Linked DNA regions of Coturnix japonica. The protein of the gene in region 3 interacts with the protein of the main gene of each other region in a biochemical or structural test. Links are inferred from orthologs where the notes say so. Each region holds a gene or a part of one and is shown on either strand. Other genes may lie near its edges. The genes, in order: EP300, RNF8 and UBE2D1.

The links.
Region 1: the proteins of UBE2D1 (region 3) and EP300 form a complex in vitro, tested with the Homo sapiens proteins (2 studies listed by BioGRID). The link is inferred for Coturnix japonica from reciprocal best matches to the Homo sapiens genes UBE2D1 and EP300.
Region 2: the proteins of UBE2D1 (region 3) and RNF8 form a complex in vitro, tested with the Homo sapiens proteins (2 studies listed by BioGRID). The link is inferred for Coturnix japonica from reciprocal best matches to the Homo sapiens genes UBE2D1 and RNF8.

The regions. Positions count from the first base shown.
Region 1 is NC_029516.1:45,453,181-45,456,932, forward strand, and holds the start of EP300 (histone acetyltransferase p300), read right to left. Parts: upstream 2,392-3,752; 5' UTR 1,023-2,391; coding exon 929-1,022; intron 1-928. UniProt on the Homo sapiens protein: Functions as a histone acetyltransferase and regulates transcription via chromatin remodeling. Acetylates all four core histones in nucleosomes. Histone acetylation gives an epigenetic tag for transcriptional activation.
Region 2 is NC_029518.1:27,120,399-27,124,050, forward strand, and holds part of RNF8 (E3 ubiquitin-protein ligase RNF8), read right to left. Parts: intron 3,474-3,652; coding exon 2,733-3,473; intron 1,766-2,732; coding exon 1,703-1,765; intron 975-1,702; coding exon 885-974; intron 1-884. UniProt on the Homo sapiens protein: E3 ubiquitin-protein ligase that plays a key role in DNA damage signaling via 2 distinct roles: by mediating the 'Lys-63'-linked ubiquitination of histones H2A and H2AX and promoting the recruitment of DNA repair proteins at double-strand breaks (DSBs) sites, and by catalyzing 'Lys-48'-linked ubiquitination to remove target proteins from DNA damage sites.
Region 3 is NC_029521.1:5,293,429-5,296,006, reverse strand, and holds the end of UBE2D1 (ubiquitin-conjugating enzyme E2 D1), read right to left. Parts: intron 2,181-2,578; coding exon 2,087-2,180; intron 1,270-2,086; coding exon 1,224-1,269; 3' UTR 506-1,223; downstream 1-505.

The DNA.
Region 1 (3,752 bases), on a different chromosome or scaffold from region 3:
TCTGCTCTCCCAGCACAACCAGATCTATCTGCAAGGGGTTGGGACACCCATCATTTCTCACCTCCACAGCATCACCAAGGAGCTCTAAAGGGACTGCAGAGAAGCCCCTCCATCTTCATAACCTGTATGTCTACAGGGTAGTTTCAGACATTTTGGTCTCACAGCAAAGAAACGGGAGATGCAAGAAGTGCACTCCATATTGATTCTTGATGCAAATAAGGTGAAGTAACATTTTGTTTCTCTAAGAGTCCTGATGAACCTCGTGCCCTAAAGTGGCAATCTGGTTTCAGGCTTTAGGCCACTGGCTTTGGCAAAAGAGCTATCAGAAGCAAATGAAAAAGCAAATTTGGGACATTCCTCAGCAAAGAAGAACAAGGAAAACAAATAATACAATACGATCAAATAAACAGTATGCATGGGGAGGGGGGGGGGGAGAGAAAAGGAACAGAGAAATAAAGCCAATTACTAAACAAACTCTAGAGGCAAAAATATACACGTGAATCTATGTAAAACAAGAAATAAGCCACGCATTTGTGTATGTGGACAGGCACACCCATAAATTCAACAATAAAGAGTGCTAAAGATGATGCTCCTGTGCAATTTCAATCTTCTGCAACGGGAACTCAAGGCACCCAGCCTCGCCGAGGAGCTCTGCCATAGCGACAGCGTAAAAGACGAGAAATGGACTAAATCTGGGCAGCGATTGCCCAAATGCACAATGCAGAGACTAGCTTCGCTTCCAAAAGAAACAGAAGGGCAGAAACACGCGAACACCCTCCTGCACCGTGAAGCAAATAGGTTCGGAGCTGGAAAGGCCGAGGGCAGGCCCGAGGCAGAGGGAAGGAACGGGGAATTCGGGCAGGAGAGGGAAGAAATAGGGGAAAAAAGGGAGAGGAAGGAGGCCGAGGCCCGAGCCCCCGAGACTGACCTGTGCCGTCGCTGGCGGACACGGAGAGCGCCGGCGAGGAGAGTTTAGGCCGCTTGGCTGAAGGCGGGCCCGGCTCCACCACATTCTCGGCCATTTTTAATTCTTTTTTAGACAATCACTCCGAGCAGAGAAACGGCGGGGGGAGCCCCCAACTCCTGGGGCCGGGCCTTCGGGGGGCTGCGGTGCGGCGATGCGGAGGGGCGAGGAGCGGCCGAGTTCCCCTTTTTCCGCCCCTGGGAGGAGCGGGGCGAGGTGGGAGCGGAGGGGCTGAGAGAGGCCTCTGCCCGCGGGCGCGGGGCCGCGCGGGGATGGCAAAAGCCCCCGCCAAAAAGAATAATTAAAAAAAATATTAAAATAATTAATAATAATTAAAAAAAAAGAGGCTGGTGGTGTTGGTTATTTTGTTGTTGTTGTTGTTGTTTGGGTTTTTTGTTGTTTTTTTTCTTTCCTTCCAGTGAGATTAATCCCGGCTGTTGTGCTGCTGGTGCTTCCTCGCCGCCGCCACCATCATCACCTTCATCCTCCGGGGGCTCTTCTCCTCCTCCTGCTGCTGCCTCCTCACCGCCGCCATCAGCCTCTTCCTCCTCGGCGCCGTCCTCCTCCTCCTCATCGCCACCAGGAGGCGGGCGAAGGAGGAGGGGAGAGAAGAAGGAGGAGGAAAAAAGAAAAAACGACCGCCGTCCTCCTCCTCCCGCAGCAGCGCCTTCCCCCTCCGACACCACCCTGCGAAAAAGAACCCACCGGCAGCGAGCGGGCCGGGGGCAGGCGGCCGGCCGGGCGGCCCCAGCTCCAACGCGCGTTTTCCTCTCGGTCGCTCCGCTTAATGGCTGCAGCAAGGGGAGCTGGAAGGAGGATGAGGATAAGTCCCAGGAGTCTCCGCTTCACATCTTGTTGTGCAGAAGGAGGAGGGGTTGTTGTTCTGATGGAGGCAGCGCCGATCGCGGGATGGGGAGCCGGGGGGCCGGGTTTCGACACCCTTCTCTGCCTACCCCCCCCTTCTCCGCCCTTCTCTTCTTTTTCCCCTTCCTCTTTCTCTCGCTCTCAGTAGTGCGCTGCCCCCCCCTCGGGCGCAGGCAGAGGGGCCGAGCCCACGGCAGCAGCAAGAGGAGGAGGAAGGAGCCGGCCCCTCCCCCGCTCTCTGCCTACCTTCCCCCTCCTCCCGGGCGGCTGAGGATGGCTGCGGGCGCCGGGGCCGGGCGGGGAGGGGGCTGCCCGGCTCCGCTCCGCCACGGGGACTCCCTCTTCGCGAGGGTGGGGAAAGGAAGCGACGAGGTTGGTAGCGGGGAGGGGGGGGGGAAAGGAGAAGGAGGAGGGGGTGCGGCTCAGCGACCCCTTCGAGCTGAACTGAAGCGGGGGATGGGGGGAAGGGAAGGGAGGGGGTTAAAATTAAAGTAATAAAATCAAATAAAGATTCCGCCGGGAGTGGGTTAAATGGCCGAAGGAGGGAGGGAGAGGGGGAAGGGGAGGGGGGGTCCCGGCGCTGCCCGCGGGGGGGCGGATGGGCGGGGGGGGCGGGACGCGCAGCGGCGCGGGGGCCGGGCGCAGGCTCCCTACTGCCCCTGCCTGGCGCTCAGCGGCCGCCGCTCCCGGAGCGTGTGCGACGGCGCGGGCGAAGCGAGAGCGGGGGGGAGGAAGGAGGAGAGGGGAGAAATTAAATAGAAGGAAATTAAGAAATTAAAAAAAAGGGAAGGGGAAAGAGAAGGGAGATAGCGGGGGGCGGGCGGCTCGGGTCCTCGCTGCTCTCCCCGTCCCCTAGTCGGGCCCCTGGGTCTCTCTGCGCTGCCCTCCCCCCGGCTCGCCCCGTCCGCTCGGCCTCTGGCTCTGTCTCTCCCTCCCTCGGTCGCTCACACACAAACAAAATGGCGGCTGTTGTTTCTTCACTCTGCCGAGTCCTCGGAGGGAAGCGAGCGGCGGCGGCGGCGGCCGGAAATGAGCCAAGAGGGGGGGGGGAGAAAAAAGGGGGGGGCGTGGTCAGCGCTTGGGGGCGGGGCCAGGGGGCGCTGGCGCACACAATGGAACGCGGGGGGCCGGCGTGCGGCAGCCGGCGGGAAGGGCGGGGCCGCCGCGAGGTCACGAGACCGCGTCGACGAATCAGCGGGCGCCGCTCGCCGGCTTCTTCCGCAAACTGCGTTGGCCCCGCCCCTTAAAGGGGAAGTGCCCCCCCCAAAAAAAAAGCTACGTTTCCTCCTTCCGCTCGTCACGCACTTTTCCGTCGGCCAAGAAGCGGCTGGTGGCGGTGGCTCAGAGCGGCCTGCGGCACCGCTAGGCCCCGCCCCGGCCCTACACCGTCAGTCGCGTCCTGCCGGGCCCGGCACCCGACGTCACTCGCCACAGCCATAACCCCTCGCAGCCCCTGAGCCATTGAGGGCTTAACGGGGATTAGCGGCTGGCCAGGGGTTGCTCAAACCTTTAAACGCTCGTCATGTGTCATTAGCGAGGAAATGCCCCAGCCCAGCTCCTCTGTGAAGCGATAAGAGAGGGAAGGAAGTGCGGGGCTGCGTGTGTTCTTCGTGGAAAGACGCAGTTCCTTTCGATGTGCACTGTCCCGTTTGGAAGGAATTCGAGCTCTGCGTGTTGGTTCGTCAATAAAAGAGTCCAGGAAAATGATACGTTTTTAATCTTCTGAAGGTCTAAGTGCTTAGTTGAGATTTCTACCTTAAACTTGGGTTGGGGGGGGGGGGGTAGAGACTCACATCTCATCATACACGATCTGTGAGGCCTTCATAGCATCGGCACCCCACCTCCCCTGTCCTGAGCCCTCTGCAATCCTGTACGGATGAACTGAAGCAGGTATTGAGGAAGAGCCTATCACAAAAAACAGTGA
Region 2 (3,652 bases), on a different chromosome or scaffold from region 3:
ACAGTCAGTTATGAACAACAAGGTTTGATGCAATAATGGTGGGAACTGCATGTGTGGAGGAAAGTAATACAAGTACAAAATCTTCCAGTTTTAAGCCTTTCCACGTCAAGTCCATGTTTGCCATGTACCCAGATTTGTAACCTCCCTCCATTTTGTAGTTACAGCAGTACTGAGAATATTCCTGTCCATAACAGAGTGCTTACAAGAAAGAACAGCCACTGTTAAAGTCCCCTTCAATCTAAAGAATCTACAAACTGGATCAATCTTCATATTTTGTTGTTTAGGGTTAAATTAGGCTTCCGGCATCTGCTACATCTTCTAAGAACTATCCTTAAAGCAACAGTTGCAAAGCTGACAGAAGAAAACAAAGCAAATAGCCAGAGGAATGAAACATCATAATTTCCAAGTGTAGAACACAGCACAAGATCACTTTAATTATCTTCCACTCATCATCTTGACAGAGGCAGGAAGAAACATGGCTTATCTCATTCGTTATTAAAATGTTACGTTGTCTCAGTCCCGTGCTCCCTTGTTGGACTGCTGGAACATGCTGCAGTTTCACTCCAGTCCACGCAAACTGAAAATGAAGCACCCACTTTTCCAATACCCTTGTTTGGTTTTCTTTTAAAGAAAAGAATGGGTCAGCTTCTCCTGCACAACATTATTCAGATGTCCTGTGCTTTCTGTATCTGGTAATAACTCTGCAATACTACTCCACAAACAGAGCAAAGAGTATATCTTATACAGAGTGAATCAGCCGCCAGACCAAAATACAAGAGCTTTTCAACACAGAAGGCAGCACACAGCCAAAGCAAATGTTAAATCATTTATTCTGCCACAGCATATCATATTCCAATTACGGAGAACTTAGTTTTATTACTTACTTTGGTTTCCTCCAGTTCTTTATTCTTGGCTCGAATTATCTCCTCAAAATCTTTTTTACTACGGCTCAGTTCTTCCATCAAAGCATGATGCTGTAATGATACCATGATACCAAAAATAAGAGTGTTATTATAAGCTACCCTATTAAATACACATGGATCTAATCATGAGGTTCAGCACACTCATTTCTCCTTTCTTCTCCTGTAAGAGCACCAGCTCTATATAAGCCAAGGTGTTAAGGAAGTTCACCCAACACCTACAACTTACTTTACATTTCATTTTGCTTTTCTGGTCACTGTCTTGAGTGCATCTGTTACATTTGAGTATCAAGGAGTATCTGACACACAAGTGTCACAAAAGCCTGTCAGAAGGGCTGGTTGAATCTCTTTTTGGATTAGCCTTAAAACCTTTTAGACAGAAAGCCTAGGAAAACTAAGCATTTGACAATCTCTTTCAGAAACATTCCTAACCAAAACTAGTCCTTTTTCCTGTGGTTTAAAACTACCAAGGCAGCTTTCCCAAAACAGATAACCAGAGGACAGACCTAGCAAAAATATCCACCAGTATGTGGACCGGATTCAAGTAGAACCACTACACTACTTAACACTTTCTAAAAGCACAGATTCTTGTGTTATCTGCTGATAAATAACAACTCTCAAGAAGGGAGGCCTGTCTCTTCCTAGCAATAATTTAGTCTGTAGAAGATAAAGACCACTCAAAATGCACTTTAGACACAGTCCTAGTCTTCCACCAAGAGTGGAAGCAGTAAGATTTAAGTATATGAGTTCCATATTTAGACCAAGTAGATTTAATTACTTGCCTCTTGCAGAACCTGGACCAGCTGCTCCTTCAGATTCTCTTCCCCATCCTGCCCTTTTACTCCCTGAAAAAAAAAATAAAAAAAAAAAAATCAAACACCAAAACTAGACATTCTTGCAGTAAAGCAATTATTGGAGGAAGAAAAAAAAATACTTGAAGATACCACGGGAATGAAAAGAACCATTTTGCACATTTAGAGGATATAATTAAAGCAACAAAACTGATTTTCAGCAGAAACTGAAAAGGCCTACTGTAGAGATTCAAGTGTACTACTGAAATTACAGCTCCCATTTACTGTGAAGTGCTAAAATGAATGTATCACTTACAGTTCCATACTTGGAACAACTCCATGTTACTCTAGCTCTGAAGACACTGCAATGTTCACAGAAGCCAGGAAGCTGGCAATAGCTTACACATGAGAAAAAGTTGAAGCTCTCTCTCTGAACACATTTAAATAGGCCAGACAGAGTTACAGCTTCAGGTGAACTTCCCTTTATCCTAAGCACACAACTCCAAACCTCCTGTACTTCTGATACAGTATTCTGCTTTCAGCAGCAGACTTTAAAGGAAGTAACTGATAAATCAGGTAAGTAACTCTCAGACGAATCCTTACTTCCCTTGAACCAGATTTCAAGTAGAGTCAAACAGAAAGATAGACTTGTAGCTTCCTATCTAAAACAAGTTATCAGCATCCACACAGTGCTAGAAGGCACTTGCGGGTAGCAAGAAGAGACTGTTTTTCTCCTAATAAAGACAAAACAAAAAAATCAACAACAAAAACCCCTCCTTCCTCAGACTCTGAATTAAGACAGGCAAAAAATGATGCACTTGCTTGAAAAGGAAATAAATTCCCCACGTGAATTTAGCATTAATTCAGAAAAGCTGTATACTAAGAAAAAAATCCCATTTAACGTGAACGCTTTTTAACGTGTCCTCTTTGTAACCCACAGAGGGTCAGAGTTTTAGTTTCGTAATTGGAAAAAAATATATATCTCAAAACACACAGACTGAAATGATTACCACCATCATACCTCTAGCTTCTGCTTCTCTTTGGAGAATGTCCTCTCCAGCTCTTCCACCTGCTGCTGATGCTGTACTTGTTCTGTGCACAGTTTGTCCTGCAACTCTTGCAGTTCCTTTTCCATTGCTAGGATCGTCTTCTGAGCAGCCTTCCTGCGCTTCTGCTTCGCATTCAGAACTGCTGTCTGTTTCTCCTGCACTTTGACTTTTAATTTCTTTATATCTGTGAGATTTTTCCTCAGCTTTTCCAGGCCAGTCCATGACTGAGAAAGAGCGGAGTGTTTCTGGTCCTTGTGAGCAACAGCCACAGCTTTCTCAGAGCAATCAAGGCTACCACGCACTGGACCACCATCGTCCTCACTTGATCCAGGAGAGGGCAGCCTGACAACCCCCTTGTCTGTCAACTGTTCTGCCTCTCCTACTCTTCCCAATGTATTACTCAAAGGTTCTCCATCACACGACACTCTGTCCCTTTTGGATCTGGAATTTGAAGGGCCTTCTGATCCACATGTCTCCGATTCTTCCAAAGTAAATTTACGTTTAGGTCTTGAGGTCCTAGCTTTCCCCAGGTCACTCCTTTGGGCTAAAAAGGGTTTGATTTTCTCCCACTCCTCTTTAATTACTTCATACTCAAATTCAGCAGTCTCTCTGTTTTCCAAAGGCACTCCCAACTGGATACGGTCTCCTTCTGCTATAGGATAGGTTCTTGAAGGATCCAGGCGCTGTTTATTAAGCCAAACTCCATTTAGACTCTGAATACAAAGAATCAGCAAGGTTCAATATACAGTTACAAAGTCATCTGCAAGTTATTTCTGGCAACTGTAAACATATCCAGTCTCTGCAGTATTGCAGTCAGAACAAGCCACCTCTTTAAATAAACCTTGCAATTTCCAACTTAATGGTTCAGTGTCCCATTTATTAAATCAATGCA
Region 3 (2,578 bases):
GGGGCCACAAGGTGACCCCAAGGGGCTGGGGAGGATCGGAGACCGGTTGTACGTAAGGTACGAGGCTGGACGGAACCGAGAGCGGAAGAAACGAGCTCTGCCAGCAGGCAATGTGAGCGCAGAGCCCCCTGCAACAAAGCGCTGCTTTCATAGCAACGCGAAACATTCCATCAGTGAGCAGAGCTGCTCCCCATGGAGCTCAGCTCACAGTTCATCGGTACAGCACAGATGTAACGCCAGCAGGATCCTGCAGGCAGAACCAAAGCTCCTACCGTGCCCCCTTCCCTCCTGCCTTGAAGTGGCCACCCAACATTGATTACAGTGAAGCACACTTAGTACATGCATTGAAAAAGGGAAAGAAACAAGCCAACAGCCAGGACAGCTAGTAGAAAATCCATTTTTATTTATATGGAAAAGGCTACATTTAGATTTGTAAAAGGTCTGCGTGTTATGCTGCCCACGTGTCAAAAATCAGTCGTGAAACGCAACAAAAAGGTTACATATCTTTTCTACACAGCAGTGCAATTAGTTCACATTGCAATAAAATTAAGTCAAGTATGCAACAGAATCAAAACCATGTGTCTGTCCGTAATCATACCAAGAATTACAGTGCAAAGAGCATTTTAGGTTTTAAGAAGTCTGCAGTCAGTCTTTAGAACACCCCAGAGCGGGCAGGATATCCCTTCATCACCAGCAGTTGTATGTTGTCAATACCGTGCACGAGAAAGTCAGTCTAGAATGAAATGACTTACACCGTAAATAAAATATATTTAGTCTATACAATTAAAAATACAAATTATAGATGTGAACTAGCAAAAGGAAATCCAAACACACCTATGAAACAGATCGTATATCTTAAAGACACACATACAGTATCATCACTTAAAAACGGCTACTTCTCTCCAGCAAAAATAATTTGGCTGCTTTACAACTGCATTAAGGATCTCGCAGTCTGAAGATGCAGATGTCCAACTCTTAAAAACCATAATAAATGTCTTCTGCAAAGCATACAAAGAGGATAAATACTCTCGTCACAGTCATAAGGTTATTTTTGGAAGTTTTCCCTTGCTCCAGAAACACACTTACATGGGTGGAAAAAGAAAACATTCAAGGGGCTCGATGGGACGTTCCAACAGTCGGCTGTGCTCCGTTTCCTTCTAAGTTTGAAAAAAACACACTAGAATTTACAGTACTCTGTGGTGTATGAAAAAGTCTTCACAAGTTTACATTGCATATTTCTGAGTCCATTCTCTCGCGTGTCTGTTGTATCTGTATGTGCGGAAAGAAGGCATTACAGTGAAGAGCTGTTAGATCTTGATGAAGACGTGCAATAATCAATAGGCTACTTGCATACATTGCAAGAGATCTTCAGTAACTCAGCACTAAAGATAACCCACAGGTACCCAAATGTATTCTACAAGGTAAGAAATATTTGTTGATATCACGGAACTCCCGCAGGCAGGTTATTTCACTCTTTGTAAACTGGACTGGATCTGTTTGTAAAACTTTTGCCTCACAAGGATTATTTTCTCCATAGAACCTTTAGAAACCACACAGTCTAGTCTGCACTATACAGGGCTTGAGCTTCTTGCCACCTGCAATTGCTATGAACTCTTAAGAAATGGATGAATCACTTGACTGGCTATCTACAGATGTCACTACTTCAAGCTGCAGTGCTTGAAGAAGCCACCCTGTGAACACAGGGCTCTGAAACACAACTCCAGGAGTGCCAAAGCCCTGGATTTGCAAGCGACCTTTACATCGGTTATCTGATCTTGTGGGGGTTCAGCCAGGCAGGCAGCCAGATCACAGCACTTCAAAACCCTCCATAGGAGCGTTGCACAAATAGCAAGCCTCAATAACATCATACAACATACAACAGTATGATGGTTTTATGCAAAAAAATATCTAACAGTTGTGTATGCCTACAGATTCCTGCTATTTTACTAATAGATGCTGTCAATATTTCAATAGCCAATACTCTACCATTAGATATCTCTAAAGGGATTTTTCAAGGAAATGGACAGGCTGCTGTAGCCAATCACCATCTGCAAGTACCACACAAATACATCTGTGTTATACTCACTTTTCCTTGTCTGACTTGTAGATCTGTGCAATATCCGGTACTAGAGGATCATCTGGATTAGGATCACAAAGTAAGGAGCATATGGACAATAAAACTAAATAAAAGAGACACCAAATTAAGCAAGTTAGTTCACTTGGTTTCTGCAGTCCTTTATGTAGACCAGTACACAAAATGAAGAAAGGAAGACTGGAAAGGAAATACACAAGTATGAAGCTTTCAGACAGCAGTCCTGCTCAGGAATATAGAATACAGCTCTTAGCAATGACTTAGACAACAGCTGCATCTTAAAGTTCATCTTAGAGGAATGCCAGTCAGAACCATTTATTTCTTGTTAAAATCTGGTGTGATTAAGATCCCTGCCTACGCAAGTACGCTCAAGCAACCAAAAGCCATCTTGAAAACTCCATAAGTAAAGAGGCCCCCCTACATGCCAGTACCCTGTTTTTCCCATTTATGTTCAGATTCCTTTGGTTTTACAGCTTTGTTTACAGA